Linked DNA regions of Lonchura striata. The protein of the gene in region 2 interacts with the protein of the main gene of each other region in a pairwise test. Links are inferred from orthologs where the notes say so. Each region holds a gene or a part of one and is shown on either strand. Other genes may lie near its edges. The genes, in order: ubiquitin-conjugating enzyme E2 E2 and ZNRF1.

Region 1 (16,092 bases), on a different chromosome or scaffold from region 2:
AGAGAGAAGAGACACAATGAGAGATAACAAATAAGCCAAGCACCAAAATGCTGTAGTGTTTAGGACACAATTATGAGTTATAAACTGCAGGGGTTTTGTCCTTTCAGGCAGCAGACAGAATTAAATTTCTACTTCCCACATTATCAGTGATGCCTCTGTCAGCAGGTTGGGCAGGCTAGAAAGAGGAGATCATTAACTCATTGGTGACACTGACACCATGATCCAACGAACTCAACTAATGTACCTGTAGTTAAAGCCCCAATGAGAGGTGTGTACCCACAGTTGTGGAAGACTCTATGTCATTGTCATCTCTCCCTGCCACTTCCTGATGACTAGGTTAAGTGGATAACTACTCAGCCAAATATTTGAGGACCTCCTCTCCCTAAATATCTAGCTCTGCTTATCTATCTCCCTTGAAATGTGTGGCCTTCCCTGAGAACTGTGTACTTCACTAGCTTTTACAGCATCAATAGATAGAAATTGCAACAGATATCAAATTGCCTTGGTGGGCCTAGTCCTCAGCCATGCTATGAGTTCCAGTTCCAAAAATTTGTCAAACACAGGAAAAAGAGACAAAGAGAAACTGTGCTGGATTCTCTAATTACTTTCCACTTTTTCAAATTACCTGGAAAACACAAGAAACATGCACTTTGCAAAGGTAGAAATGCCTATGTAAGATGCAAAGCTGGTCTAAATAAGGGTTCACTTGGATTAAAATATAGGAATAAATACAGCTATAGAGGCTCTCAACTGAGTTATGACGTCAAGCAAAATTCCTTCAAATACCCATTATGACAAGATAAAGATATCTGAGAGTCCACTTTTGTGCAGCTCAGGGCTCTGAACCGTGGTAAGGACACAGGAAGAAAGTCTGCTTCCTTAGGGAGTAGATATGTGTTCCTGTCTTGTGCTTTCCGGCTTCCTAAAATAAATGTTTGCTTCACCTGTGTCCTCTTCACTGCATCTCCATAACTTTGCAGTCATGGGAACAGTTCTGAGGTAATTAAGAGAGTATGTCCCTACCCTGAAGTTGCTGCACCCACTGCTTGCTTTGTTTCATGCAGTTGAGGAAGATGAGCACTTGCTCTTTTGATTCCTGCTCCCTGAAGTTCTACAGATGTAGCTTACGGAAGAGTAGACAGAAGTTTGCCAGGTTCTGCCTAGACCTATGGGCAAGATATTCCATTTATTCCCTGCCATAGTTACCACCAAGGATGAGACTAAAGATATTTGACTTTTTCTTCTTTTCTTCATCCTCAGACTTAGGCCCTGGCAGCTGCTTTATTGGCACCAGTTGTGTATAAGAGTCCATAAAGCAGAAGGAATAATTTAGGTTTATCAAGCTGCAGACATTCCCCTTCATCCCTTCCAATTACAGCAGAGATCAGGCTCTTTGGCTGGGATTTTCAGGAAGCAAGTACAAAATGTGACTAGTCTGACTTATTAGTTCAGGGGACTTCCACTTCACTGGGGGAATCCCCGGTAGAGAACATGCGGGTATTTTCCACCGTATACGAGGCAGACAATCTGCTTCAGATTGATTGTGGTCCTCTGGGTTCCTGAAATTTATTTGGTCACTCTTATTGAAGGGACTGAACAAGCCTGCTTATGGGGTTTGGTTTGCTGTGGAGGATGCAGAGCCTACTCCCTAGGCATGCATTAATAATGCATTAAACATAGAGAACATTAGCCCACATTCTTCTGGAACCTTAACTTTATTAAAAGGGAACATGAGTGCCCACGGCTTCTTTTTCAGTGTAAAGATGTAACTTTCCCAACAGAACCACAAGAGATCCTCAGAATTTTACCCATCTTTAATCAGAAAACCAAGCTCTGATTCTGTGAATTAAGATATTACGAAACCAACAGAAAATAATAGGAACGCGGAGGTGCTGAAGAGAGTGTGGAAGTAACAACTAAAACACCCCAATTTTCTTTTCTAACCTATCTTCACTTTTCAACATTCTCTCCCACATATGGTGATGAATTAAGACAGGCAATGCAGGGAATTCTTCCAGTTACAGGTCAGTGCATTACAATAGCTCTGGAAATAAAGATTTTTCCCTTCAGTACATGCAATATGAGATTTTTAAAGCAGTGGCTATGTCTAGGATTTAGTTGTCAACAATTTCTGTGTAGAAACTATCACAGAATTATCCTATGCAATTACTTGCACTTAGGCTCTAACTGAGGCTCTAAACCAGCACATAGAAACGAACCTCTGTTCAGGACATTATGCAGTTAATTTATTCCCTCCCTACCTTAAACAAAAATACAGGCTTTCATTAAGGACACGGAAGCAGGTTATTACCTCCCTCCTACCCACTCCTAATATGTTTTATCTTTATTCTTTACAATCCTGGATAGCAAAGCAGCTGAGAGCCACCAGGATTTCTGATGCCACACGGTTATTGTCTCAGTTGTTTGTTCTGGTTCCAGCCGAATGATAGTGGGAGCTGTTCTGCTTCTGAGCAAAGGGGAGGAGGAGCTGCAAATTCTTCGTTTTTTAGGCTGGAATGAAAGAGACCTTAAAAGCTGTTTGCCACACAACTTACAACTCCTTTTGTATTTAATGGCCTGGAAATATTAGAGTGAATAAATGCTAATGATTTGGGGGTTTGCAGTATTGTAGAGCAAATAAAGAAGTCAGGCTAGCAGTAACTTGCCTCTGTGTTCACACAATCATTTTACTTCAGAATGCCATGAAAATAATTTAAACAGACTTCTGTCAAGGCATTGTTTGAACAATAGGCTTACTTAGTTTTCAGGATTCAATCAATGTTTTCCTTGATATAGGATGCCATTTTTTATATGATGAGGACATACACAATTAACTGAAAACTCTTAAGTAAATTTCTGCTGCAGATATCTTCCTTGCTATGCCACTTTATTCTACACGCTGATAGAAGAGAAACAAAAAGAAGAATCCTTATCTCTGAATCACTCAGAAACTGCATTTTCAAACACAGCTGGCACTTCAGAGATCAGGGTACCTGTGAATTTCAGTTTACATTTGCCAACAGACAGAGTAGGATTCATCCATGCAGCAACAAAAGCAAAGTACAATTGTAGAAAAAAAAAAAAATAGATATAGTGTGAGAATAAACTATCTACAAATAGGAGAAAGAGAATTACCAAAGAGGGAAAAATAGACAACAGGCTAGATCCTCTGAATGGTCCTCACAGATTTATGTCATCATAGTAGTTTAAGGAAAACCAGCTATGGGAGAAGAATCCTGGAACAGCATGAAGCTACTGCAGAAACTCCTCATTCTGTGCTCAGGATGGAGAACCAGACTGGGAAAGAGAGGACCTGCTGCTGAGAGCTGCCTGCTGTCCACTATCCAAACAGCCCCACAGGGCCCAACTCCTAGCAGGGGAGGGATGGGGGGAACAACACAGGCTTCAACAGCTGGAGCTGGAATCAGGTAAGAAATGAATAAAGGCACCTTTGTCCCCATTCCTCCAAACTTCTGCTGATAATAGTTCAGATGGATTAAACAAACTGGCTCATTAGGACTTGGCTGAAAAAGATTGATGTAACAATCAGACACATCATGGACAAGTTAATATTATCATCTCACTTTTTAATATAAAATAATAAAGTTTTGAAAGAGAGATATGCTGTCACAAGAGAGATAGTTATGTCTTCACCTATACCACAGCTGAGATGATTTCTCATCTTTTCTCTACCTTAGAAAATCAAACCCTTTTTTCTAGTTACTACTTGACAATAGCGTTCATTCAATGACTTTAACAGTGATATAAAAACATGTCCTTTTAAATGGGAATGAACAGTAATGCATAAATAGAAATGCAGAAAAAACTCAAAAGTTGCATTTTCCTATTTCTTTTCTTGACATGGAACGATATTTCCCTGTTTTTTTAACTAAACAGAAATGGATAAGACTCACTGTAACTGAGTACAGCTCTCAGTATAGCAAAAAAAAGTTTAAAAACCTGAAAAATTTAAATAGATCTATTACTTCTTTAAATTAAACACTTCTAAATGGAAACTTTGCTCAGGTTTCTCCAACTTCATAGATTTTGACTGACATATCTGCCCTTGTAACAGACACTCAAATCAAGAACCCTTAACAAAAGTGTCCTTAACCATAATAGTTTTAAAGCATGACTGCCTGTGCTAGGTGAGATGAACTCTGGCGTGTCTCCACAAGGAAGCTCCCAGTCTCTATGAGAGTAAAGAACTCATGTTGCTTGCTTTAGATGTGTCTGGTGGTGTAAATAGTGTCAGCTTTTAGAAACCAGACAAAGCCAAACATGGAGGGAAAAAAAAAAAAAGTGTAACTGTGTGCCTTAGCACTCCAGCATGGGTGAAATCTAACACTGAAGTATTGCCACTCACTTCAAAAGGGCCAGAATTCAACCTATAGAATCCAAATTTAGAAAAGTCTTCAAAAGATTTTGAGCAATATTATGCCACCTTTAACATCTGAGGGCAAAACACGTTATTTTGAAAGGTCAAAAGGATAAAAGCGGGAGCAGCTGACTACCCTGCCCTACTCTCTTTACACTACATAGGTAGGGCTCATTCAAAACCTCTGCTTTTAAAACAGGGCACACCTCAGTGTGTATTTTCTATTCATAAGGCAGTACAAACCTGCCTAGTTTAGTTGTCCTTAAATTAAGCCCTACCATTCAGGGCTCTGGGCCAGAGGTCAAACACCAAAAGAAGAAATCAGGGCCTGACTCGTGATGACTCAAACCTCTCACTCGGTGCTCAAACACTCCAGCGCTCCCTTGATTATTTTGGCATTGGGAAATTATGACCCAGATTCTGGGACACTGTATGGCCCCATCCTGCCCCTGTCTCAATTAGGCTATTCACTCAGCTTTTCTCTCTGTGCTTCCTGCAAATCCTAGCAGAAAAGATCTGTAATGAAGCACCATGAACTGCCACCAAAGAGAGACCTCCTGAGATGGGCTGAGGAGTTAAGACAGATCAATGTATGCCTCCTTTTAAGGCACCCTTAAGCCATCAGAGCAACATTAAGGAAGTATGGTTAGAAGAATCATTTAGAATTGAATTTTATCACTTCCTGGATAGCTTTCAGGGGGTCTGTTTTCAAATGACTGAAAGGAGAAAGCATGGTTTAAGTGATTTTAGAAAAGGGAACCATGATGTCAAAAGTGTACAATGCACCTTTCAGCACAATGAGTAACATTACTTGCTGGAGGTTTGCATTTTTTGAAGGACTTTTGCACTTCATATTCTATTAATTACTTAATTATTAATTCTTCCGAGAAGTCAATGTATGCTTAGCAGATAGAAACCCACCTAGATGACATTAGGAGCTTTTCTCCATCACAAGCAAGAAAATATCTTGTAAATGCACACGGAATAGGAAGAACTAGCTGACTGTGGTATTTTTAGGTTTAGGTGAAAATAACACTGGGATTATTTAGCAAAGAAATAGGAAGAGGAAATAAACCAAATAATTTAAAAACAATTTCTCAACAAAGAAAATTGTTGATGTTCAGGGTAACTGCAGAAATCACTTCAGTTATCTGGATATAATACGAGAGCAGGTATCAATGATGTTTCTAACCCTAATATATCTCAGTAATGCTTCAAGTTCTCAACTTCTGTATGTTTGGTGGCACAGGCTCCACCTACACCTCAAGCATAAGTCAATAAAAATACAACGCTTCGCAGTTCAAGCAGGGAAAAACTTTTCCTCCTACATGTGGAATGGTGAGAACACATTTTATTTTTTTAATCCCCTTTAGTTGTTGTTATGTGTAACATAGATAATTTGTGCCTGTAGAATGATAATGATGTAATGTTTTGTATTATTTAAAAAAGCATACCAGCCGGTACTAGGGGGTTTGCCTCACATATGTTGAATCTGTCTCTGATAAGACCTCATTACAAGTTAATACATGTAGTTCATCTGGAGATGGGTTGTTTCTCAACGTAATCCAGGAAATCCCGAGTGATGATGGTCCCAACAACAACCCAAGACTGCAATCACTGGAACCACCCAAAAGGATACATCTCAATACCATGTTCCCTTCCTGGACACCGAATTGTTCAACTCAGCATAGAGAAAAGAGACTTTATGAATATGTGGGACTTTGAATGGAAAGAAAAGGCTGATCACTGAAATCCTGGCCTCGAGCAAAATAAACCATATAAAAGTTGCTCGCACAGAACAGGTGGTGCGAAACATAGGGGGATCCTCTGCTGTAGCGGTCAGCACCACTTCCCAGCTGTCTGACCCAGCGCCGATCCCGGGCTCGGCACTGTCCGTTTCTTTGTGGCTGGCTCAGACAGATTTCAATTGCTAAATAAAATCAATTTTTATTTTTAATTCGGCTGGATTAATTTTTTATCTATAGCAGTTATTAAAAAAGGGAAAACATTTTGACTTGGCAATACCTCTTTACCCTTGGCTGGTAGATTTCCCTGTTTAAGGAAGAAAGGTTTGAGGTGATAGTTTACATAACATACCTAAGCATATTATGTAAAGATTAAAGCAGCAGGGTCGGCACAGGGACAGAAGTGTCTCACTCGCCCAGCGCAGTCCGGGTTACCTGACAATCAGTTCTGCTGGAGGTTTGTTTTGTTCCAGGTTAATATTCGCACTAAACAACTAACATTTAAGTGCGGCTCTGCCTTGGCCTCTCCCATTCCTGACCGCGATGCTTTCCACAGAGGCAATGCCCGCCTGCGTGGGAGGTGAGGTTCATTTACCTGGCCACAATCGGGCGACAGCGCCTATCTCCAGCCGGGATACCGCACGTCACCGGGGCCGCCGGCGGCCCGGGGCGGTTTGTGCCCCGGGCTGTGCTGATGCCACGGCGGACAAAACTAGCGCGGTAACACAGAGTGTGGCCACCAAGTGCCGAGGCCCGGGCCCTCCCGCAGGCCGGCCGAGGCACCGCGTGCCCCGCACCGCCCCTCCCCAGGTACCGCGCCGCTCCCCGCCCGGGGCAGCGCCGCGTCCCGCCGGCGGCTCCCTCCGGCTCCGCCGAGACAAAGGCGCTGGGGAGCTGCGGGCCGCCGGGACCGGGGAGGGGGCGGCGGAGGGGGCCGAGGGGAACAAAGGAGCCGAAAAAGACGAGAAGAGCCGAGAAAGTTGATGCCGGCCTCCGCCGCTCCCTGCCCTGTCCCGGCCTGCCCCTTCCACCTCCCGGACTTTCGCGTGGGGGCCCACGGCAGCCCGGCGGCGGCAGGGAAAAAGGCCGGGTACCCTCACCTCCATCCCCCCCGAATCCCTGGCCAAAGGTCCCGGCTCACCCCATCCCCTCCCGCCGCCTCCTCCTCCTTCTTCCTCTGCCCCGCTGACCCCGCCCAGCCCCCGGTGCTTCCCTTTAACGCGCGCTCCCGCCGCCGCCTCTTGCCCCTCCCCCCTGCCCGGCGGCGCGCGGCCTCCGCCGGCCCCCGCGGACGCGCGCCCGCCCGCGCGCCCATCCCGTCACTTCCCCCCCCGCTCCCCCGCCGAGGCCGCGCGCGCCCCCGCCCTCCCGCCCCTCCCTCGGCGGCCCGCGAGCGCCCGGAATAATTGGCTGGCGGGCGCGCGCGCGCGCGGCGCCGGGCGGACGGGTGGGGGCGCGCGCGCGCGCGGAGGCGGCGGCGGGGGTGCGCGCGCGCGCGCGGCAGCGGCTTCACTTCTCTCCGGGCAGCGGGGGCAGGAGCGGCGGCGGAGGGAGAAGCAGCCGCGGCCGTCGCTGCTGCTCGGGAGAGACGGCAAAGGGGAGAGGAAGCCGAGAGCGAGGAGCGCGGGGCAGCGGGCTCATGACTCACTGAGCGGCTGCAGCCCCTTTCCAGCCCCGCGCCCGGCCGGAGTCGGGGCGCCCGCGACGGATTGTCCCGCAGCCTGTGCCCGGCACCAGCGAGAGAGAGACCTGCGCTCGCCTGCAGGTAGCAGCGGCTTCCCCCCCGTCTCTGCCGGGGTACACCTACCTCTGCCCCGCCTGAGCTCCCCGTCCTCCTCCCCTCCCCCCGCCGGGCTCCTACCCCCATGTCGCTCGCCATCCCTCCCCCACGGCAGCACCCTCTCCCCCGCATTTATCTGCGATCCTCGGTCTCTACCTTTATCCTTCATCTTCCCTCCCTTCTCCGCATCCCCCTGGTGCTGCCTGGTACCCCCTTGCCCCCCTTGTCATCCTCGGCTGTGCCCTTTCCTAGCAACCGTCCCGGCCGCCCCCCCCGCCGCCCCCGGCCACCTCGGCATCTCTGGAGGCGCTCCTCGCTCCCCCAGGCTCCATCCAGCCTCCATTGCTCCTCAGCACCCCCACACCCTTTCAGCAACTCTTCCGTGTCCATTTGTCCTGCTCGCCCTGCTGCGGGCGGGAGCGGCGACCACCCCCGCTCCCCACCACCCCTCCGGCCCCGCTCCGCATGGTCCCCGCGGCACTCTCTGCGCCCCTGGGGGGCCGGGGTACCCCCTGCCCCCCACCACGATCGAGCCTCCTGGGATGCGCTACCCCCACGCCCCCCGCCGCAGCGGTGGGCACCCCGGGCTGGAGCCCCCCGGGAAGGGCACTACCCCCCCCACCCCCGCGCCCCAAGGAGCCCCGCAGCCCAGCCCTCTCCCTTCTCGCATGTGCCCCCGACGTCTTCCTCTCGCAGTCTCCTCCTCCTCCTCTCCTCGGTTGTCTCCTACTTCTCACCCTAGCCCGGCCGCCGCCCGCGCGGCCGTGGGAGTGCGGGGGGTGCGTGGTTCTGGGGATGCTCGCGGCCCCCACCCGCTGCCTACGGCGGGGGATTCCCGACGGGAGAGTCGCTCCCGTGCCCACGCGCGGCCGTGGGAGCCCGGAGCTGCCGTCCTGTCCCATCCCATCCTTCCGGGTGCCCTTCTCAGCGGCGAACACACCGGGCTCTTTCTGCCTCCCGTCCCGCGATGCTGTGGTCTTGCCCTTTATGGTTTCTAATGAAGATGAAGTAAGGCGGCTGCTGCCATTGCTGCTCGTGGTGGACCCTGCAGAAATACTCAATTTATCTTGGCTTATAGGAAATTACGAGCGCTTTAGAAAGACATCATCACTAGCTCTGCCGCCCTTGGGACCCATCTGCACGTTGCCAGGATCTTGCTGTTCCCGACTGGTGGATTTTTTTTTTTTTTTCCTGGCGTGTGATATCTGATAATGACTGGTGGTTTGGGGTATTTTTGTCTTTTCTTTTTTGTTGTTGTTTTTGGTTTGTTTGTTTTTATTGTTGGTTTGTTATTGTTGTTGGTTTGTCTGTTTTTATTGTTGTTTTTTTTTTTTTTTTTTTTTTTAGTTTGAGGAGGAAAGGGAAGGTGCCCGTGGATATATTTGACAAAAGCAAAATATTTTGGATGCCCTTCACTTTGAATTGATAGTTGTAGTTACACTTGTAATCTGTCTCGGTGCTGATTCATCTCACGTTAAGGGAGAGACTTTTAAGTCCCCTTTCATTCCTTCCTCTGTCCCCTCTGCTCATTTTTCTCTGCACAACAGCAGGGAGGTTAGCAACCCTTGTCTGAATGTAGAATAGCCTGGCAGCCAGGAACCTGGACATCGTGTGTCTTTCCTCTTGCCCTGTGTGACAGTTGCAAACACACTTATGGCTCTTCAGATTCAAGGATTATCTTGTATTTCTGTCTGTGTTGGTGGCAGTGAAATGTTTTCTTCACAGTGTCATCCTCTCAGTTGACTTTTTTTACCCCAGTCTCTTACTTGGTCATATGTTTATGTGTCTTTTAAGTTTGACCCCATTAGAAATGTTTAATTTCAGGCCCCTTAAAGCATGGTTTTAATGCAATTTTGAGCATCCTTTGAGCAAAACTCCCTAAAATTGCAGGTATTTTGAGGAGAGTGAATAGAAATAATTGCCTGGATGTCAGAAGGGGGAACAGAGACAGAAGGAGAAAGGGGGGAAAAAAACATCCAAAACCCAAATCTCCCCCCCACCCCTGCCAGAAACTAGCCAGACATCAAATGACAGATTTAAACATTTTCCTCTTGTAAATGCTGGTGTTACATGTTACAGTAATTATATGCTCTGGGCTACTGTTACAGTATTTATCTGCTGGATAGTAACCTGAACTTAGGAAGTGAATACAGTTGTTTTTTGGATAATAGTAATATTTGTAGCCAAGATTATTCATAGCAGATGTCCTATGCATATAAGTATTATTAAATATGCTTTTAACTTTCTGGCCTGCAGTGTTGAAGCCTATGTACATTGTGAAGAGAGAAATTTTCTCTTTAAAATTAGATGTATTAAGCAAGGTCAGAAGTAAAATCTAGGGCAAATAAAGGCCAACATAAGTGTTATAAAAAGAGATGAGGTTTATGTAGAAGTCAGGAAAATGGGTACTTACTACCAAAATTGCATTAAAGTTGCATATTTTGACTTGTCAGAATGTGACACTTTTGTTGTTTATTACCTCTAAGCATTCTGCTGCTTTACCTTGAAATCACACAATAGGATTTAAATATCTGAACATCAGTCTGCGTAAATTTATGGACTATGTTAAATGTATTGTTACAGCTGTACTGTAGGAGAAATTGTTCTCTAGGAGTGGACAATTCTTATGTTTTAATTTTAGGGCAGAAATTCTAGATTATTTCAGTTACTTTAATGAGCAGGTTAGGTCTTGTGTGTTTATATATATTTAGATGCAAAAATACTATTTTCTGTTATAAAATCAAAAATGCAGCTTAAGCGATGAAGGGAAACTTTAGTCACATATTCATCACTTGGTATTGCTTGCTGTTTCTTTTAATGCATAAACATTTTGAAGGGGTGCCATACTTCCAGAATTCTTTTTCAGTATAGCTTCACAAGATAGATGAAAAAGACCTAATTCCTCCTGAAGTTAGTTGGATGTGTCAATAATGCCTGAAGAGATTATTTCTTCTGCTCCATAGTGTGTATTATTTGATAGAATTAGATCTTGGCAAGGTTTTTTAGTATAGGAGTAAATTTATTTCTATTTTGTAACAAGAACACTTAGGCCTTTTTAAAAAGCATCCTTTTCAACATAACCCTATTAGCATTGATATTAATTTACTTTTCCTTTGCTGTCTCTTTCCATAAATATGTACAGGGAGATGAACTTTGTTTAATACATAGAACAAGCATGGTTGAATCTGAGCCTGAAATCTCATTATTCTCCCTTGAGCGAGTCTTAAAACACATAATAGTCAAGGTGAATAGGTTTGTTCTTAATTGTGATGATGTCTGTACATAGGTAAGAGGAAAAGCGAGTCGAAGTTCACAGCAATTTGAAACTCTTTGTGTATGAAAGAGCAAATTCTTAGTTCAGACAGATTTGATCAGAAAACCACCCAGATATACAGGGATTGTGTGGGTGTAAGCAAGTTAACATTTGGGCCTGTCTACTTTTTATTAAAAATCTCTAGAGAAGGATATGTAACACAGGTGTATAAGGTACAGATTTGGTGTTAAAGGAAAGACCTGGGTTTCACTTTGGTTTTAATTTGGTTTTGGCTTTGTTGGTTTAGGTTTTTGGGTTTTTTTTTTTGTTTTTTTTTTTTTTTTTTTTTTTTGTTTGTTTGTTTGTTTGTTTTGGTTTTTTTTTTTTTAATCAGTTAGTGCCACCAGATATGCTAATTCAGTAAGAGTTTTTCATGGACATCTGCCCTTCATTAGAACAGTTTGAGAGTTTGAGATGTCATGACAGCTGTAACAGCGGGCTTGTAATTCCTCATCTGTTGGCGTATTGTTATACTATTTAAAATGAAGGAAGAAATTAAAATAGCTAACTAGTATCAGAAGTGTGCAAATAAAGCATCAACTTGACTTCTGAAATATGCTGAGATTTCTTACGGCTCATATTCTCTGACAAGTTTGTTGCCTCATGTTGCCTGAATGAAATGTCAGGAAAAACTTTGTTATATCCTCTACCAATGTGCTCACTATTTTAGTAAATACAAACAGTCCTGTGTTAAAGCTTTTTAGTTCTGTGTTTCCATCAAGCATGCCAAGATGTGGATTTTGTAATGTGGAAACCCACATTGTACACTTGGAATGAGCCCACAAATTTATTTCATATGGGATAACAGAGAGTCCTAAGATACTAATAACTCTCCGTTTTTAGCTAGCTGTGGTAGATATGAACTGGTGGCATAGTTGATGGGACAGCTAACTCATGCCACTGCTGAGTGGTTGAAAAACATAATTCACAGTGAATGGTTTTACACTTTCAGGATTATGTTTCCCACTTAACTTCAGTAACTTCTGGTTTTCATACATATATATATGTGTTTGTGAAGAGTTTGGCAGGGGGATTGGTTTGTGTGTTTGTTTGTATTATTTGTTTGTGGGTTGGTTGGGATTTTTGGGGGGGTGGCAGTGGTATAGGGTTTAAAATTGCCAGTTCCTGAATTATTGTTAAGATGTTTGTGGCAAAAACTCTTCAGTATGAGGATTATTGAACTACTGTGATATAAACATTATTTTGTTAGGACAGAGACATATATCCCATGTGTTCTTTCCTTAAGCATGTAAGAAATACAATGAGGCAGTTGCTCCTCAAAAAACTAACTTCAGTTGTTTGTCTTTGTTCAGTGCAGCATCTGCCATGTCTACAGAGGGGCAGAGAGTGGATGATAGCCCAAGCACTAGTGGAGGTAGCTCTGATGGAGATCAGCGTGAAGGTGCTCAGCAGGAACAAGAAAGGGAGCAAGTTCAACCAAAGAAAAAAGAGGGGAAAATATCAAGCAAAACAGCTGCTAAATTGTCAACTAGCGCTAAAAGGTACGGTGTTCTTCCTGACTGTTTCTTTCTTTCAGCTGGTCATCAGATCCATGTATTGACTCAGTATATTAATTTTCTGATTGTTTTATTATAACACTACTGTATCAGTGTAATAACCTTTTGAGACTGGTCACAATAATGAGACCTGTATACTTTTCCCTTTCTTTGTCCGTTTGCCTCTTTCACATGGTTTTAATAGTTGCTTGCATGATAAAAGCTGACATTTTTTTATTGCTAATAAAACTCAGACAGTTTTGTAGCCTTATAAAATATATCTCTGTATATGTATGTATGACTGATGTTGAAACTTGTCAGTGTAACTTACAGTTAATTAGCCATAAACATTTCAGACAGTTCTGTAACTCAGCATGTTAGGACTACCGTAATACCTATTGCCATGAAGTACTGCCTTTTCTTTTCCCAGATGAGCAGGTCAGAAATACTTGAGTGAACAACAAATGTATGTTGGTTTCATTACTTTAAACTGTGATCTGTTTTAATATCCATTTATTTTCCCTCCCTTTTCTGACTGAGATGAAAGGTTGGTTTGTACAATAGCTGTTTAACTTATTCTATGCTATCATGTCCATCTCCAGATAACGGTTGTCTTGCTTGGACCAGACAGAAGGAATTTACAGTTTAGTGTTTCTTTGCTAGTACATGTAAGGTTGTTACTCTGGGCAAGTGGGATTATAGTGATTGAAGTTAAAAAGCACTCATAAAATAATCTGACAAGAGACCAATTCTGCAGACTGTCCTGATGCAGAATTCCCAGATCTCATTTCTCTGCTAGTCCAAGGCAGTGTAAACTACAAGAGAAAACACTGAAATTGTACCACTGTGGTAAAGGAGAAGCATCAAGCCCCTTCTGCCATAATTTATAACGTATGCATGTAGTCAGAATCTGTATGTAATACTATATAAACATGTGTGTATATCTAGTCAGGATTCAAGTCTTTGTTTTGCCTTAATCTGTCCCTAATCAATTAGACAGGGAAAGTTTCTAAAGTATCTAAAGTACTTTTCTAAAGTATCTTTAGATACTTTAATAAAGATACTAAAGTATCTTTGTCTTTCCAATGAGGTACAGCTATGTCATGCTTTTCTTCTGCTGTAGATTCCTTTCTTACAGCTAGTTTTTCTTCATTTTTAATTCCATGGAGAAATACTTTCTGGACACACATTCCTACTATGTCACTATTAGGAAATTACCTGGTCATATCACTTACAGAATGGCCAGCAAAACTTGCCCCAGAATGGCCAGCAAAACTTGCCCATGTTTCCTTTTACGACAAGAAGGGCAAAGAACCCCACCCAACTTTCACTACAAATCATGATATTATTCATGTAGTTAATCCTCACAGCCATAATGGTTTCTGGTCTTCTCTTTTGTCTGCTTCCTGCTATTATTATTTTTAAAATATTAGGAATATTGGATTAGATATGAATTTCAAGGTCATAAAAACAGTTTCAAGCATCTTTAGAAAGCAGTCTGTGTATTCTGAACTTTGTACAATGCCTGGTGTAATGATGCTACAATTCTGACAAGGGCCTGTGGACACTATCCTATTAAAAAATTAATAATGATATGTCAGAAATTGGTCTATTAATCTTAGCTTTGTATCTTCAAAGCTTAGAGCTTTTATCAACAAGCATTTTACAGCGATAAAATTACTTAAACCTTTTAAAGTTTAATCATATCTGCTTATGGTTCTGCTGAAACTAATTATGCCATCAGTTGCTGACTTCAGTACATTTGCCAGTTAGAATCTAAAGCTAATTTCACATGTGTAGTAATATTGATTATATATTTTAGAAATATACATTTGATTATACATTTTTAAAGCTGACATGACTTACAATAGTTCTGTAGATATGTGTACAGTATTTTTGAAGAGAAATGTAATTTAGGAGTAGCCCTTTCTGTGAGGATTTCAGAAACAGTTGTTGTAGTAATGGGGGTTTTTCTGTATCATTGTATTTTTTCTTTTTTTTTTTTTCTTTTTTTATTTTGTTTTTGAATATTCAGTAGATTGTAATTTTGTTAGAATTGGGATTGCACCTTCTCTAATCTGGCCAGGTTTTCATATTACAGGTTTTGTTTCTGTGCTTTTTAATTAAAATTAGTGGTGTCTCAAGAAAGCTAAATCTGAAATTAAAGTAGAGGTTAAAAAGGAGGGGAGTAGCATAAAGGAAGGAAAAATGTCTTAATACCCTCAATATGTGCTAGGTATTCCATAAACAGTCTGTATAAAATATCTTCATAGTAGTATTGTTATTTTAGTTCATTTTGAATGAGGAATAGTGTAGGATTAATAAGGCCTTTCTCTCATACCTTTATTACAGTGAGAGGAGTCAACATTGCTAAAAAATCAGTAAAACACTCAAACAACAGAGTGTAGTGCAGTTGTGTCTTTCGTCAAGATTCCTTAATTCCTGTTAGAAGCATCTAACACCAGCAAGGTCACTGGAGCTAAAGTCACAGACTACATGCTTCATTCTAACCTGAGTTTGGAAATCAGATTTTCTCACTTGGAAAGTTTTTTTGTGCACATGGAATTGTAGGCACAGTTTTTTTGGATTGCATTATACCTACTGAATATGGAGAGAGGTTTGTGTATCTCTGTTTGGAAGACTCTTTGTTTTGCTTTTGATTTTTATGCTAAGGTAGTCAGATTTAAAGAATCTTCAGTAGCATGAGGGTTTGTATAAATCAAGATTTAGCAGTGTGCTGACTTTTGGTTGTGTAACAGTAAACTGCTCCCATGTCTTATGTATGAATATACATTCATGCAGCTTAACTGCTTTCCAAAGTGATCTGATTACAGAGACTATGTGAAACCACTCATATTTCTATTTGAGTAAGATTTTTGGTATTGAGATACGAAGTTTTTTCTGTTAGCATTGCTGTGGATGGCACCAAGAAGGTAGAATGCCATCACATGCTGTCCTTCTCTGTTAATACTTCAGGACTAGCTGCTGTACAGGTGTAATAGCTTACAGCATATGTTGTGTAGTGTACCGGTCCTTCAATTTTCCTCACCCAGAGGGCATCACCTTAAATAGCAACCTTTCTTACCCAACATGTCAAGATTGAGAAACCTGCTGCATATCACAATTACAGTTCAGACATGGAATTGAATTGCTGTCCTTGAAAACAGCAGGCATCTTGTTACCTCTTAAGTAGAAAATCTTAGCATGACCTTTGGATTGAGAGAAGTGTAACCATTCTTGGCTGACATAGTAGTAGCTCAACAAATAAATGTATTGTTTTGCTTGGCTCCTGAAGTTGCTGGTTGAAAATCTGTAAACTTTTATGTCCAATCATGACTTTTTAAAATAAATATCTGTGCCTACAAGGAATTGTGAACTGT
Region 2 (16,633 bases):
CCAAAAATGTGCTTGAACCACAGGGCAGACACAGCCAAGCATAGCAAAAGAACTTGCTCAAGCTCTTTTGGAAAGAAGCTAAACACAAGGACAGATTCCTCTCTGCCTGTACCACTTCCAATTAACAGAAGATGCTGCTGGCAAACAGGATGGCAGCCTTTTATATCCTTTTTCCATCCACAGGGATGCAGAAGGGGAAGACCCTTGGGCTGTTTACAACACAGTGAAATGGCTTGAAAGGTGGTATTTTTGATCCAAACTGAAAAAGCCGCCTGATCTCATCTTGGGGATTCCTCAACCAGTGTGTGTCAGCAACTATGTTTAAATCTTCATTGTATCTTTGTTTATAAATAGAAGCAGCAAGGTTTGATGCCAGCTACACCGCGTTTCAATGTGGAACAACTGTTCCACACTGAATCCATTCAGAGCAGCAAGAGGCAGGAGTGCTCAGATGGGTGAGATGGGCACAGCTCCCTTTTGCAGCAGGATCCTGCTCAGATCAGCATGAACTCATCACTGGATATTGTCTTCAGAGTGTGTTTGAAAATAAGCTTTTCTGCTCCACTTGTGGCCTGCCCAGTGCACTTCCTTACTTGGTTTTGGTTTCTACAGACTGTACCCCGAAGTGGCAATGAAGGACACCTTTTTGCCAGTTTTACTAACTCTCTGCTCAGAAGCAGACTGTTGCTGAAGGCACCTTTAAGACATCAGTCATGTGTCAGAGCTGAAAAGTGACAGGCTGGGGAATGTCAGAGAGCAAACAGGGTCCCAGCTGACAGCACCAGTCCACTTTTAAAACTGCCTTTAATTAAAAACAGCAAATCCAGGAAGCAAAAGGAACAAAAATCCTAAGAAATCACCTCCAACTAGGTGTTTCTCAAAAGAATAGATGGAGAGATTTCTCCATCCCTAGCTAATCCAGGACTCTCAGGTTATAAAAGCAGACAGCACAGCAGAAAAGGCAGCTCACTCTGGAAACAGTCTGCACCTGGCTGGTGCCAGTTGCCACGGTGCTGTGGGTGATGGCCGAGATTTCCATTGGCAGAGCTCAGAGCCTGGGGTGAACAAGCTGCAGAGCATGACAGACCAAGTACAGAGCAGAGCTGAAAACTGCACTCAGTCTCACACAGCTATTACTGCTTCTTCAGCCCAACCCACTGCCTCATGGAACTCCTCACTCATACAGTCCATACCCAGCTGCAAACCCCAAGCTACAAGCCAGTATTGACCTGTGCTATTTACAGACTGCCTGGTGCACCACAGCCAAGCAGCAAGGTAGGGAGGTGAAAACAAAACAGCAAAGAGCAAGAAATTCAAGAAGTGCACAAATCTCAGACTAGAAATCAGAAAGAGAGCACTTCCCTCCAGAAAAGAACCATGTGGATGCTTGATTTATTTGGCAAAGCATTTTGTAAATGACAAGCAAGCAAAACTAGATGCAACTAATAACTGAGAGCCATCCAGCAGAACACCTCGCTGGCAGTAAATCAGAGTTAGGCCTTGATCTTGCAATGTGACTTGCAGAAGTATGTCTGTGCCAGCTCCACACAGCCTTCCAGCTCTGCAGAGGCTCACCCATGAAAGAAAGACCAGGGAAAACGATGAGTTACAGCTTTTAAAACGAGTGAACTTACTGAAGCTGCAAAGTAGTAGGCGTAGCTGTCATGGGGGTTCCACTGCACCGCCCCAATGTCCCACTTGCTCTGCCGGGAGATCTTCCGGTGACCCTCGTTTGGTGCATCCAGGTTGACGATGTAGAGGAAACGGCGGCTGCAAGACACACAGACACAAAGGGGCTGCGTCTCACAGGACTGACCTCAAAACCCCAAGCTCACACGGAGATTACAGCCTTGTGTCTAGAGGCACAAGAAGCGAAAATGAAGCATTTCATGAGACAAGTGAAAACACTATACCTGAAAATAGTGACTACATTCGACTACCTACTTCAAAATATACTTAAAAAAAACCCACGACCCCCCAACAAAGACAAGACACGCTGAAAATAAACAGGATCTGCAAATGTCAGATACCTTACACCGCAGAAAAACCCAGACAACTTGGATACAAAAGGAAGCTCTGGAAAATGGTGCAAACACATTCAAACAGGCTTTGCAGGCCTAATGCTGCAGCAGTAGAGCCTAAGTGGCACATGCTTGGGAGTGCAATTCAACAGCTTCAGCCTGAATAGGTTGCTCTGAGCAAGAGTTAATGAGCCTTGACAAAGATTCTACGTGGGTGCTTCTTTCCACACCAGTCTGAGGGCTTGGTTCCACCAACAGTACAGAAACACCTGCACAGAGCTCATGTTCAGCTGCAGCAGTTTGTTAACGTGGGTGGACACAGTCCTGCACAGATTTGGTTCCATTACTTACCTGAGCTAACTCTATTTGCAGCAGAAATAATTCTGCGTGGTGGCAAACCTGAGCTTATACATCATGCTGGATGTGGCCAACTCCCCACAAAGCAAGGTATCATTCTGTGTGATTCATCTTACAAGCAAGAGAAACTGCCCAGAAATAATTGTGAGCTAGCTGAACCCTATGGAGGACCAGCATCAAAACATAATGAACCCTACATAATTACCCACATGAGCATCATCTCTCAGCTGCAAAGTGACCATACAGCTGCTCTGAGCACTGGCCATTCCTCCTGTTACTCCTGTGCAGCACTGCCAGACTAAGGGTTGACATGGAAGCAAGCACTGCTTCAACCTGTACCAAAGGCCTCGGTTCCTTGAAGGCTGACCACAGATCAGCTACACTCACAAGATTCTGAAATGAACATCTTAATTGGTGTGTCAATTGTGTCACTGACAGGGGGACAGGAATAGCTGTTAGTACTGAAAAGCATGAGCTGGAAAGGCACCGATGAGCTGGTTGAAGACTTGTTCTGGAGGTGGATACATAAGACCACACTCTCCCAGAAACTTGGGCAACTTGGAAGTCTGTGGCACCTACTGTGTCTGTGAGTATCATCCCACACTGAACCAGCAGAGAAGCAGGTCAGACAGCCCCGTGGGAATATTTGACACAAGTTTTGTTAGGAAATAATCTAATTGTATTTCAAGACAATCCAAATAGTACTTCATGATGCTCCATCTCCTATATGGGGATTTGGGAAGGAATTTACCAAGAAAGCCACACCAGTGTTTTATTGTGCTCTTGTTGCTGTCTCAAATCTGTATCCCATAGGGAACATGACCCAGAATCAGTTTCATTAAACCTTGAACAGAATGCAGCTGCACCTTTCTGAAACAATCCATCAACCCTCCAGCTAAGGTCAGCCTAAAGGCTGCTGGTCTGGCTTGTGGAAATGACTGTCACACTTCCAACAGGGACTGTCACACTCACCCCGAGAGCACAGCACGCTGTCCCAGGCAATCCACTGACATCGCAGTCGCCTGTTCAAGAGAAACACAGAACAAAATTAAATCATACCTGTCAGAGCAGCTGCTCAGTCAAACAAATGGCTCTAGGGAGGAGTTCAGGAAAGTAACATCCCCTTAAAGTAGCACAGAGGGGCAGCGGGTGTAGTGATTGATTCTGGGATGCAGGACAGCACACAGAAACATCTCTTAGCATCAACTGAAAACAAAACCTGGCAGACAACATCATGAGCACTAAGACCTTGCTCCCTTCTCCCTGCCATGGCAATCACAGCTGCAGCCTTTCCATCAGCAATCTCTAATAATCTGTATTAATCAGCCTCTGCTCCTGCTCAGGAGCTTTCTCAGTCTCTTTCATTGCAGGGACAGATTTCATTATATATGTACTGGGAGACAGAAGTGCAACCATTTGTGTATGGCTGGTCTCCAAAAAGGAGAGGTGGCCAAGAGGCATCAGAATTGACTTGACATTGCTTGTAAAGAAGGCTATGAGATAACTTAAAGGACATTAGGAAAAAAAAAAAATAAAAGGACTGTTTGGATATTGTCTCACCCTCTTTTTGTGCAGAATGAACTGATCTTGTTTAAATGCCAAGAGAATAAAGGAAGACTTTACTTGGAAAGCTGAACAGTTCAGCCCATAAACATAGATATGACTGCAATAGAGTTTTGAGCATTCACAGTGCAAAAATGAGAATATGCCCCACATTCTTCACACTAACTGCTGTCATCTTCAAAGCCACCTCTCTGAAGGCTCAGGATGTTATCTCCTGCTGCTGTTCAGGATTTTAAGTGCTCTCAGCATGGATGTAACAAGACTTCAGGATGTCCCACAGTTACTACTTACAAGCATTACTAAAACCTGACAGACAACACAGAACTACCACACCATTTCAGTCAGATCTGACAGATCCATCACAAATTCTGAGCTTTTTCAGCCAGGGCCCATCCCCTCCTTGCAAATACCCCAAGTGAGGGTAAAACAGCATCAAGGACCCATTCTTCTCTAGAGACCACATGTCAAACAGCTACTGCTGCCTGCAGAGCTTCTGCAGGAGCTCATGGTAAACCAAACCCTATTTCTCCACTTTTACTGTTCCAGGAACAGCTCCCTTTCATTACTTTTTCCCTAGGCAGCAAATCCAATCTTCTAGCAAGGTCTCCCCAGTCCTAAAGCTAATGTTGTAAATAAACAGCTAGTTTTAAGATCTCTAAATGATAAGGAAATAATTCCAGCTTTCTAGACTCCACAGCACCTTGCAAAACACAGAATAAAACCTGCAAAAAGTAGGTTACTGAATCTATAGTAAAAAAAAACCCAAAAAACAAAAAACAACTAACCAAACAAAACAAATTATCTGAAGAAAGAAATTTGCCCAGATGGTACACATTTTTCTTCTGAGAAATTAAAATGCAGATCACTAAAGCCACTACAATAATCAGAGTTTCTCATGTGATAAAGAGCTCGTCAGGAGAAATATTTCATACAGTTGGAGCCATCTTTCTCAAGACAGAAAAAAAAAAAGATTGATAATTTCCTATACAAGTTTATTTTTTCTAGTCTTAGCACCAGGATCTCCTAAGTCCTTACAAATTGTTTTCAATAATGAACACTGGTAAACTGTTTCTTCCAGGCACCAAGCATCATAAAATAATCAGAATGATGTAAAAAGTTTCACATGTCAGGCTGCTACTCTGATGGGTCACAAATTAAGTTGTTTTACAGCAACAAACAGTTCCCCATGATACAAGAGCCTTATCTAGGCACAGGAAAAAAAAACAAACTGCTGTCATTTAATGCACTTGGTATAGTGATATGTCAGTCTTCACAGCACAACTTTCCAGAAGGGGGGAGTTGAAACTGAACAAACCAACCCGAAAGCAGTTTTTGTCCTAAAACAACACTGTGGATAGCTAAAACTGCTGTTCATGAAAAACAATGACATCAGTAAGCACAGCAGGAGCACTACACGTTTGAGAACCTGCTCTGAACCCACAGTCCAGGCAGCATCTTCTCAGACTTTGAGCATCTACTTTTGCATTTTGCTTGATTTCTGCCAGGCAAGCCAAGGGAAACTCCTTTTCATGTCTGAACTTTCATTAGTTTTCAAATTAGCTTCATTCTCTCCACCTGAGAGGCAACACACCAACCCAATTTGACATAGCTATGGTGGTGTTTTTCAAGAGCTGCAAACTCTTAACAAGCAATACCAATTCCCTGCATACCTAACCTCCCATCCACACGAAGTTGGTACAAATGGTTCCATTTCAGCACTGGGTGAGTTTTGGTCTCCTTTTGATAGTGCAAACAGCCCAAGAAGAGCCTGTGGATCCTGTTCAAATCAATACACAGAGTGCTACCTCTGTCAGCTTGTACAGAAAAATGACACTTGTAGGTACCACAGGCCTCAAAACACACAGTGATTTTCTGATGTGCTACAGGTTGGGTGCTGTAGCTTTCGCATGACACACTCTAGCATGGTGAACAAAGACAACTGCAGGGCTCCCAGAGGTGTACTGGCTATAAATGTAACACCTGCCCACTCTTTTGATTCTTGTTTCCATTTAAGTTGTTCTTAGGGTAGAGATTTTGGAGATAGTGTGGCCTACACACAGAGCTCAAGACTGGTACTGGATGATTTCAGCCAAGGTGCTCCAAATTCTCAAGCTCAGGCTTCCCACCTGCAAAAATGTTTTTGCAGACTGCTTAAAAATAAGCTCAGACACAAATATATAAATGAGTTTAGCCTGAAGCAGCAGCCTGGCAGCCCAAGCCACAGCAGCGCTCTGGTTTCATATGGGATAGCAGGCAGGTCAGAACAGCTCCAGGAAGATCACACCAGAGTAAAGCAAAGTGACTGAAACCCCCAGGCTCACCCTCTGCCAAGGCTTGTGCCAGTGCAGGAATGACACTGAAACCAACTGCTGCAGCATGGGGTGGCAACACCTGTCCCTTCTGCTCCCACACAGCAGACATTATGAGTAAGCAATAAAGTCATGAGGCCTCCTGTCTTCTGAGCCAGATGCAACATGAATCTGTGATGTAGGAAGATGTACCCTCATATCTCATTACTGGTTTCCTGAGGACAAATCCTCAGTAGCAGACAAGGCTGCTTTAATGCTTCTGGGAGGAAAACTAATACAAAGCTTTTGAGGCACAAAAGTGAAAAGCTTTGTGAGCTTACATAGGGTAGGCTGGATGCAGAACACAGGATTCAAATCTTCTGTTTGCAATGGAGAAGGCAGAGCCCTTACTGCTCCAGCACAAGAAGACAAATGAGACAAAACAGCTTCCAGACCTATTTTTTTTAATCTTTCTGGCTTTCCTGCTGAAGTATCTCATAGTTCCCCCACTGTATCTAGTTTTGTTAAGCTATTGCCAACACCATAAGACCCTCACATTTCTTAGAACATAATCATAGAATCCTAGAATGCCTTGGGTTGGAAGGGACATTAAATATAATTTTGCTCCAAATCCCTCTCACGGACAGGAACACCTTCACTAGGCTGCTTCAAGCCCTGTCCAGCCTAGCCATGAACACTTCCAAGAATGTAAGAACAACTTCTACAACAGCATGTGAGCAAACAAACTCTGAGCGGAGTTCTACTATCACCATCAGCTTCAAAAACAAAAGCCGACCTTTTTACCATTTACAAAAAAAAAAAAAAAATACAAGCCACTTTTTATTTTAATCAACAACACTCAGCAATTTATTTGTCAGTGAGACAGCAGTAACAGTCTCCGTGAAAAGTGACAGAAGCATAGACCGGTTTGGGTTGGAAGAGACCTTAAAGCTCCTCTCATTCGAACCCCCTGCCACACGCAGGCATCTTTCACCAGCCCAGGCTGCTCAGGGCCCCATCCGCGCTGGCCTTGAGCTCCTCCAGCAAAAGGAAATGAGGAAAGACGTGTGGGAAGTGGCAATATCGTATGTTAGGCCTGAAAGTGCATTTTAAAAAAATACAAGACCTAATTAAGATTAGAAATTAAGTGTCCCGTGAATTAAGGCGTTATCTCCGCGCAAACGACTCCGGACCGCCTCAGCCCCGAAAGGCCCCGCGGGGCCGCCGCGCCCTCCCGGGCCGGGACCTCCCCCCGCTCCGCTCGTCACGGGCCGGCAGGGGGCTGCCCCCGCGGCGCGGTGCTGCGGCAGCCCCCGGGCCCTCCGACCTGGGCGTCGCGGAACTCCACCACCACATTCTCGCTGCTCCAGCGCGCCGCCATCTTGGGCCGCCTCGGCGGAGCCTGCGCCGCGCCTGCGCATTGCGGCGCGCTGTGCGGGGACTGCTGGGAGATGTAGTCCCGCCGCTCACCACCCCCCCCCCCCCCCACCTCCCCCGGCCCGGTGAACACGGGCAGCGAGTCCCGTGGAGCCGGTGGGGGTCCCACGGCCCGAGGGGGGAGTCCCCGTGCGGGCCCGGCCTCTCCGGACGGGCTCTGGCCGCAGAGGCCCGGGGGTGGTCGCAGCCCCGCTATAGAGCAAGATATGTGCGTGGCGTGGGTCGAGGGTTGTGCTCCGCGGGGCAGCACCCGCTCGTCGGTGCGGCGGCGGCTCCGCGTCCCGCGGCGGCGGCGAGCGCAGCGCCGGGCGGCGGCGGCGCAGGGGTTAAGGGCGGCGGGCCGGGGGGGCCGGGGGCGGGAGCATGCGTGCTGCCGGCCGCTATTGTCTCCGGCGCGGCGCCCAGCACCAGGCGGCGGCCGCAGCGAGGCCGTGCCCGGCGCAGCGCAGCGGAGCGGGGCGCGCCGCCCCCGCCGCCCCCGCCGCCCATGGGCCGCAGCTGATCCGCGCCCGGCTCCCGGCCGCGCCCCGGGCACCAGCGAGGCGGGCGGAGCGACCCTGCCGGCGTCCACCCCCCCCTCCCCCGCCGCTCCCTCCCCGCTCCGCGGCCCCGGAGCCCTCGGCGGCCTCCGCCGGGGGTGACGGCGGTGGCGGCGGCGGACTCGGGGCGCCCTCGCCCCTGCGGGCCCGGCGGGGGGAGGATGCCTGGGGCGGGGATGGGTTTTCGCCCGTAGCTCCCCGCGCCCCCCCGCTTCCTTCCGCCCCCTCTCGCCTCCCAGCGGGGGCGGCGCGGCCCCGTTCCCCGCGGGGGGCTGTCGCTCGGCTCCCTCCGGCCCGGCGGTGCCCACATGGGGGGCAAGCAGAGCACGGCGACCCGCTCGCGGGGCCCCTTCCCGGGGGTGTCGACGGATGACAGCGCCGTGCCGCCGCCGGGAGGAGGGGGGGGGCCGCCCCCCTTCGGCCATTACCGGGCGGGCGGCGGCGGCGGCGCGATGGGGCTGCGCAGCCGCTCCGTCAGCTCGGTGGCCGGGATGGGCATGGACCCGGCGGCGGCCGGCGCCGTCCCCTTCGGGCTGTACGCGGCGGCGGCACGGGCGGCGGGGGAGGCCGAGCGGGCCCCGGGCGGCGGCGGCGGCGGTCCGGGCTCCGACTCCACGTACGCCCATGGCAACGGTTTCCAGGAGACGGGAGGCGGTCACCATAGAGACGGGATGCTGTACCTGGGCGCCAGGGCCTCGCTGGCCGACGCGCTGCCCCTTCACATCGCGCCGCGGTGGTTCAGCTCGCACAGCGGTGAGTGCCGGCTCCCCGAAGCCTTCCCTCGGCTTCCCCTCCCTCCGTGGGTGCTCGGGGGCGGCGGTGGGTGCGGTTCAGCCGGGAACGGGGAGCTGACCCCCTCCTGGACCCTCATCCCCATCCCCTCCCTGGCACAGACAAGTGGGTGCATGCTGGAGCTGGCATCTGTGTCAAGGTCAAGGGAGGAAGGGGCTGTGAAGGGAGGAGGCTTTCTAGAAGGGAGGTGTTTTGGCTCTGGGATATGAAGCAGTGGATGTGGCACCCCCACCCCATCTTCCCTTGACTTGGAGGATAGTGGTCTTGAGGGTGCTGTAGCTCAAGACCTTGAGTTTTGCAACCAGGCTGAGCACCCTGTGTCTCTTCTGAAGGTGTGTGAGGGCTGCCAGTCAGTTGTAACAGTTCCCAGCCTTAGAAATTGGGAAAGAATTAGAGAAGGCCTTTGAAAACAAGGTGCGGGGATCTTTTTTTTTTCCATTGTTTTGTCTGTTAAAGGGCCAGGGAAAGGCCAAAGTGGGTTTTCTCTTTCGAGCCAGCTGGCAGTGTTGTGGTGCTTAGGAGGAAGCAGAGGAGGAACTGCCTGCCTCTTTGACAGGGCTGGGGGGCCAGCTGGGCTGTCTTGCAGGAAACGTGTCAGGCTATGGGAAGGGGCAAGGTTGCCCCCTTCACCCTCCTGGCCGGACTCTTCCATGTGTGCTGGTGTCTGGAGAGGAGCTCTTGCTGCAAGCAAGGCTGTGTCACTGACCCAGTTTTGGTTGGGTACAGGGAGCGAGGTGGGAGGTCCTCCCTTCCCCTCCTGGCTGGAGGGGAAGTAATTTCAGAGATGTCTCCTTGTGTTTCCTGGAATAGTCTGGGATTTCTCTCCCACCCGTCCCCCTAGCAAACGCTGTGCTCTCCTTGTGTGACGTGGTCTGGGAATTTCATAATACGCCTTGGGACAATGCCTCATTTTCAGGAAGGCCTGTGACCAAAGCAGTGGGTAAGAACAAAGTGCAAGAAGAGTCTCGTGGGGCCCATTTTCCTACTTCTTGGGGAAAAAAAAAAAAATCTTGGGATTTTTTTCCCTTTGCCCATTCTCCAGGGGCTGCTCTTCTCTGTTAGATGGAAGCTGTGTGTCTTGCATTGCCCCAGGTCTTATTCCTATTGATCTGGATAAGGCAGGCGCTTGCCATCCTCCCTGGCAGATGGAGAGGGCTGGCATGTGGTACCAGAGTTGAGACCAAGTGCTCCTGCAAACTTCCTTGCTCCATGACCTTGCACAGACTGTGCTGCTGCTCTGGTTTCTAAATGTAGAGAGAGATGAAGGCACAGCATCCTTCCAGGTATTCCACAAGCCTCTCTGGGAATGAGGGCCATGGGGGCTTCTGCTGTGCCTGGTGCTGGTGTGGGGAGGGTCTCATTACAGAAACACCCTGCAGCTCACAATGGTTTGTCAGAGAGTATCAGTTACATTTTAAACTTCAATTCTGAGGGGCAAAAACCTGTTCAGAAAAAAAAAAAAAAAAACAGCTGGAAAATGGACAAAATGGAGTAAGCTGTTTTTCAGCCACTTAAGTGAGTTAGTGCAGTGCTGCGAAGTTAAACACGGTGCCCTTGAAAGATTGCAGCGTGAGCTGTGGGAAGTGCTGCAAGAACTGGGTTTCTCTGGTGCCTCTTTTGGGGCCCTCTGAGAGCATTTGAGCTGAGCTGAAGCGTGTGCGGGCAGCAGCGAGAGCTGTTCAGTCTGTACCAAAGCCTCTCCCGGTGGTGGTTCTTTGTTGCTAATTAACAGCAAAAAGGAGTGGAGGATGCTTAAAAACCCTTTTGAAAACTTGTCAGAGCTCATTTAACTTTTGCACTCTTCTTCTCTTAGTGTAAGAAGTTAATGAAGGATTTGGAGACTGCAGGGAAGGGGGGAAGTAAGCCACCGCAAGATTGCTGAAATTCCTGTTAAACTCCCGTTGCAGCTGGTTAACCTCCAGCAGGGCAGTCAGGAGCTGCTTGCGTCTTCCCCCCTGCCTCCCCATCGACCTGCTCCTCTCGTGGTGCTGAGCCACTCCATTAGCCACTGGAAAGTGCTGAAGCAGCAGTGCTCTGGTAAATGGAGAGGAGCTTTGACATTGCTGCGCGTGACTGTCCCTGCTGCCTTTGAAGGATGACTCGAGGGTGGGGATGAGGGGACCTGCCCCTGAGGATGAGGGGCTGAGTGGGTACCAAACCCACTCAGCATGATGCATGGCATCTCTGGGATCTGCCTGAGCTGCTGTACTACTGAGGAGAGGATAAACTCTGTAGATAATGTGGCTGGAGAGTGGATTCTTGCCCTGCCTGTCCCTTTCTGGAGATCTGCATGGTGCCATTCTCTGTGAGTGGGTTGCATTCATGTTTTTCTGGGTTTGGGGGATGAGCTGGGAGCTCAAAGTGCAACCTGATCTCTGTGAGCTACTCAGTGGGACAGCGAGGAGCTCTGACTTGAGGGCAGTGATAAGGTGCTGTTGTTGCAGCAGAGTGCCTGTGATAACAGGAGCACACAGATAGTCTTGGCGCCTCGCTGCTTCCTATATCTGCCATGCAGAGTTTTCTGCCTCTCCAGCCTGCTTCATGGCTCATCAGGCCCCTCAGCAGGGATCCTGAGGAATGAGCTGGGGCAGGCTGAGTTCTCTTCCCTGGTTGGTGTCACTCCTTCCCCTCCCTACAGGTGAAGGCCTGCAGAAGAGCTAGGTGTGCCTGGGGAAGAAGAGAGGAGGATTGTGCTGAGGATTGTACAGAGGGAGGTTGCAAAGTAGTCCCCAAAACCAGTGAATGCTACAGCATCCCTTTAAGGTGCTGTGCATGGGACTGGTCAGTAAGAAGAGCCCACTGCTGAATCCCTCTGGGCTGGACTATGGCTGCTGGGATGCCTAAATTGGAGGAGCAGTTGGATACTGATGGCCTCTAGCCTGTCCCAGGGCGAGCGCAGGAGAGCTGCTGCTCTTGTGAACAGTGAAGCCTATGTATATCTTCCAAATGGGGTGGGCAAGAAGGTCTGATGGTGGAGCTTGTCCCTTCCTTTGAGTGGACAGCACCTCTGTGGATGAGTCCTGTTTCCTGATGGGGATTTTCCCAAGGCATGACTGCCATATACACAAGCAATGTAACTGTTCTGGGATTCCCCTGTCTGCCCAGGGTTTCTGAGATCTATTTCTTGACCTCCATAAGTGGAAAAGACACATCTTGCACAACTTTGGAGTTTGCCTGTAGCACTTGACTCTGCCTCTTCAGTTTTATGACTATTTAGGAGTTCTCAGTAAAGCCAAGGCTGGCGAGAAGAAAGGAGAAAAGGGAGATGTGTAGTTTAGTTCTGCATGTTTCCAGCTTTGTGGGTTCTCTTAGTATCTCTCATGTTATTCATCAGAGGATCTAAGGGAGTTTGCATAGGCTGTAAGTAGCTTAAAGTTTATCTGGAAATCCCACTCATCACCCAAAGCCCTTGAGTGTTTGAAGCTCTAATAAATCCATATCTCCTTGTCTGCTGGCTAGCCCAAGGAAGCGCTTAGCTTATCCTCCTGTGCAGTGCCACCAGGAATGTCACAGGCTTTCTGTGCACTGACAAAGCAAGCTGTTTTTCCTGGATGTTGGTAGTACCAATGTCAGGAGGCCTTTGCCAAATGAGCTGCTGTGTTCTCAGCAAGCTGAGAAGAGGCCTGTCTGTGGTGAACCCTCGCTGTGCTCCGACAGCTTTAAGTCCTGAGCTTTTTCTCACTAGTGCCTGGCAATCCTTGCTCTTCAGATAGTCCTGCCATTGAAGCCTCTACACCAGAATGAGAAGGCTGAATTGTAGCTCGCTAGTCAGCTGCTCTCAGCCCTGGCTGTCCTGACACCAACTTGTCACCAGTGTGTTCTGGCAGCCAAAATGAGCCCACCGTGTCCCATGGTGTATCAGGCACAGCACTGCCAGCTGGTCAGGGGAGGTGATCATCCTGCTCTGCACTGCTGTGGCCTCACTCCGAGTCTGGTGTGCAGATTTAGGTACCACAATACAAGAAGGATATAAAGCTGAGAGAGAGCATCCAGAGGTGGGACGTGAAGATAGTGAAGTGTCTAGAGGGGAAGCCATATGAGGAGCAGCTGAGGTCACTTGGCTTGTTCTACCTGGGGAAGAAACTGAGGACAGAGCTCATTATGGGCTGCAGCTTCCACTGGAGGGTCAGCACCAATCTCTGCTTTCTATGACCAGTGGCAGGATCCAAGGGAGCATCATGGAGCTGTGCTAAGGGAGGTTTACATAGGATGTTGGAAAAGGTTTTTCCCCCAAAGTGTGGGTGGGCACTGGAAAGCTCCCCATAGAGCAGCAAATCTGACAGAGTTCAGAAAGTATTTGTACAAGGCTCTCAGGCACATGGTGTGATTCTTGGGGTTGTCCTGTTCAGGGCCAGGAGTTGGACTTGATGATCCTTGTGGTTCCCTTCCAACTGAATCTCTGTTTCAACATGCAGACAGGCATCATATGTGCTTCCCTCCCCACTTCCAGGAGCTAGGCCAGGGGAAGGGCACCCCAAGGTCTGCATGAACTTGCCATTCTGAATCTATTTTTGCTAGTGGAAATTTCCAAAGATGACTATCCTCAAACCATCTTTTTGTGGGTTTGGTGCTGGTTACTGTCTGACAGCCGGGTCAAGCACCTGCACCACTGCCAGACCTGTGGATCATTTGGGAAGTGGGTACAGAAACGGTCCTGATGACTCCCCACACTGGTGATGTTCAGCTGTTGGGCTCTCCAGGTCTGGAGGTGATGCTTTTCTGCTTCTGCCTTCTCTGAGCCAGCTGCCAGGGCAGCATCCACCTGGGATGGGGGAAGAGGCAGTGGCTACCTCAGAAGAGCAAAGTGCTAAACACCTGAAGATGGGAGACTCAAAGGCAGCTTTAATGCACACCAGAGCTGGAGATGAAGTTTAAGTACGTCGACGTTGGCGTTGTGCGTGAGAAGCCGGCGGTGGCGGCAGTTATCTTCAGTCTCTGCAGCGAGAGCGAGTGCAGGCTGTCTCTGCGCTGCCTTGCCTCCCCAGTGCCCTCTGAAAGCCCGACTGCTTTCCTCAGGAACGAGGGCACTAATTCCTGTGCACATTAACCAGGCTCTCTGCTCTATAAACCTGTGCATAAATCAGCATAGGGTAGCTGGGTGCGCTCTCCCTTTTCCACACATGTGTCTTCTAGAGATGCTGAGAATGATGCTCTCGTGCTTCTGGGCTGACCCACTTCCCAGCCAGGATTGTCTTCCCAGCCTGTGACGTAAGTTTATCCCATGCTGGTTTGTTTTGCTGAGATGTTTGTTCCGGTGACTGGAATAACCGTAAAGGCTTCTCTTATTTATTAATGTGCTATTAAAGCTTCTCTCTCCTCTCTCTCTCGTTCACTGGCCAGAGGATCAATCAGATACAGACATCTTTGGTGGAGGAGCAGTATCAGGTTGGCGCCTGGCCAAGGCAGCTGCACAGAGTCATGGGAAAGTGCTGCTAAACGCTGAAAATTAATTTCAAGAGAAGCGCAGGGAGGGAGAAAAGCCCACTTCGGAGGAGGAGAAAGAAAAGCTTTTTTTCCCCTCCCCTCCAATGTAATATCTCATGTGACAGATCAGACAGGCAGCAAAGGGCTCTTCAGATAAATTCCCTGTGCAAGGACAAGCCTTGTGGTGCCCCAAGCAGATGGTGGGCAACCACGAGGTGCATTTCGTGGCATCTGCTGCTGGTACACCAAAACCCCAGATGTGCTGAGTACTTGGTTTTGAGTAAATGTGAGCTGGCTTTCTCCTGGTTCCCTTGAAAACTGAAATCATAAGGGCTTGGGAATGATGTGCATGAGCAGCCAAGTGATGCTGTAAAGCAGCAGGCCCTGATGCAGAGCACTTTGCCCATCTCCTTTGGCCTGGCTGTACAGTGGGGTACAACAAGCCTCCCTCTGTAGGACACCCTTTTTTTATTTCGGATAGAGCACTACTAGTTAAAACTGGGCCTTAAATGTCCTCCCTGCACTAGTTCCACCAGGCAGGTTTCAAATGCAGGTGAACCCACTGGGGGCTTGAGTACCCCCCCCTCCCCCATGTGTACCCCCCAGCTCCTGCTGTCCCTTGCAGGTGCTGCGTGGCTGAATGCTTTAGCTTAGTGCTTTTTGATGGGAGGTTGTTGGAGGTGCAGCTTCAGGAAGCTCTGCTGCCTGGGGCCTCTTCTCGTGCTGCTGCACAGCATTTCCCGTGGGCAGAGCCCAGCTGTTGGCAGGTTTCCTGCCCTGCTGGGCTGCAGGCAGGGAAGGGGAGTGCCTGTGGTGGGGGACAGGGTCTGCTTCTCTCCTGTCATGGTTTAACTTTTCAGCCCACTGCAGGTCCATACACTCTGGGATTTGAGGAAGGTGGAAGGAAGGGCCAGAGAAGCAGCAGGCAGATCTTCATGGCTGATTTCTGTGCTGCTGGCAGGGGGCTTGATACATTGGTGCTCTCTGGTGTGGTCCTGTGCCTCCACTGCCAGGTTTGTGCCATGTGCCACCAGCTGAACCCAAGCAGATGCATCACTCAGACCCAACACTGGGTCTGTGGGCAGCTGGGGGTGTTCCATCCAGGGTGTATTTTGCCAGTGGGAATGGTACCTCACCATTGGAGAGGCTGTACTGCACTTCTGAGGTGAAGTTGATTCTTCTCTCCCCTCTTTCCCTATAGACCAGAGCTGCCTGGCATCAGCACCAGGTTAGCCCTGGTGGTGTCCTGGGCTGAATGAGCTTGGGAAATTTGTGACTCCCTGTGCTCCTGCACACTCATGTAGCTGTGGGGTTCCCATCAGTGGCATGAAATTAGACTGTGTGCCTTGGAACGGTCTTGTGGCACTTTGTAGAGAAGCAGGGAGATGCTGTAGAAATATTTACCCTTTTGCTAGTTTTAGCAACGCTAGCAGAAATTTCCCAGGGTTGTATATTCCCAGTTAGTGCCCTTGGTTAATTGAGTTTATGTCAAGTTATGTCCATAGTTCCAGAGAGACTGTCACCTGCCAGGCACAGAAGAGGGGCTGGGACAGATCCTGTGAGGGAAGCACAGCAGCACAGATGAAGAATGGAACTGAAAGCTGCTCAGAGCAGTTTCCTGGCCCAAGCATGCAGGACAGCATGACAACAGTGGGTATTTTTAGAGGCCAGCTGCCTGCAACAAAGAGGGGGAAAGCAGCAGTCAGGCAGGAGAACTCAATGATGCTGACCCTGTCCCACATCCCTGCCCAACATTTTATTTCCTTCCAGGATGAGGCCACTGGCATTTCCATGTCCTCTGTGTCTCTTTGCCTATTGCTGCCTTAAAAGACAGGTCTCTTCCTTCTCCCCTTGGCTTTCACCATTGCTCAGAGTTTCTCTGATCACAGCTCAGTGATTTGAGAGTGATGCCAGGGGCTCTGTTCTTCACATCCTGGATGCTGCATTACAGCTTGAGGTGGTGGGCGTTTGGGGGATTGTTTTTTGGAGAAGCCTTTGTCACCAGTGAGGGGGAAAAGCTGCAGTTTCTCCTGCAGCTGGGGTAATTGCAGTAATTCATTTGGGAGCTCTTCCTACAAGGTGATGGAGCTGCACTTCATCAGAAGCACTACAGGGGAATTAGATCCACCTTTCAATCTATGCATCCAAGGCCTGGGCAGCTGTAGCCAGGGAAAGGGAGGCAAGGTTGACTCTAGGCAGATGGCCTAAGTTA

Evidence for each region.
Region 1: the proteins of ZNRF1 (region 2) and ubiquitin-conjugating enzyme E2 E2 interact in a two-hybrid assay, tested with the Homo sapiens proteins (2 studies listed by BioGRID and IntAct). The link is inferred for Lonchura striata from reciprocal best matches to the Homo sapiens genes ZNRF1 and UBE2E2.

What each region holds. Positions count from the first base shown.
Region 1 is NC_134603.1:119,103,784-119,119,875, reverse strand, and holds the start of ubiquitin-conjugating enzyme E2 E2, read left to right. Parts: upstream 1-7,599; 5' UTR 7,600-7,888; intron 7,889-12,529; exon of another isoform or gene 12,530-12,534; 5' UTR 12,535-12,542; coding exon 12,543-12,718; intron 12,719-16,092.
Region 2 is NC_134615.1:15,813,164-15,829,796, reverse strand, and holds the start of ZNRF1 (E3 ubiquitin-protein ligase ZNRF1), read left to right. Parts: upstream 1-8,481; 5' UTR 8,482-8,513; coding exon 8,514-8,958; exon of another isoform or gene 8,959-8,975; intron 8,976-16,633. Other genes in the region: GATOR2 complex protein WDR59, read right to left, coding at 1,635-1,770, 3,351-3,400, 7,557-7,610. UniProt on the Homo sapiens protein: E3 ubiquitin-protein ligase that plays a role in different processes including cell differentiation, receptor recycling or regulation of inflammation. Mediates the ubiquitination of AKT1 and GLUL, thereby playing a role in neuron cells differentiation.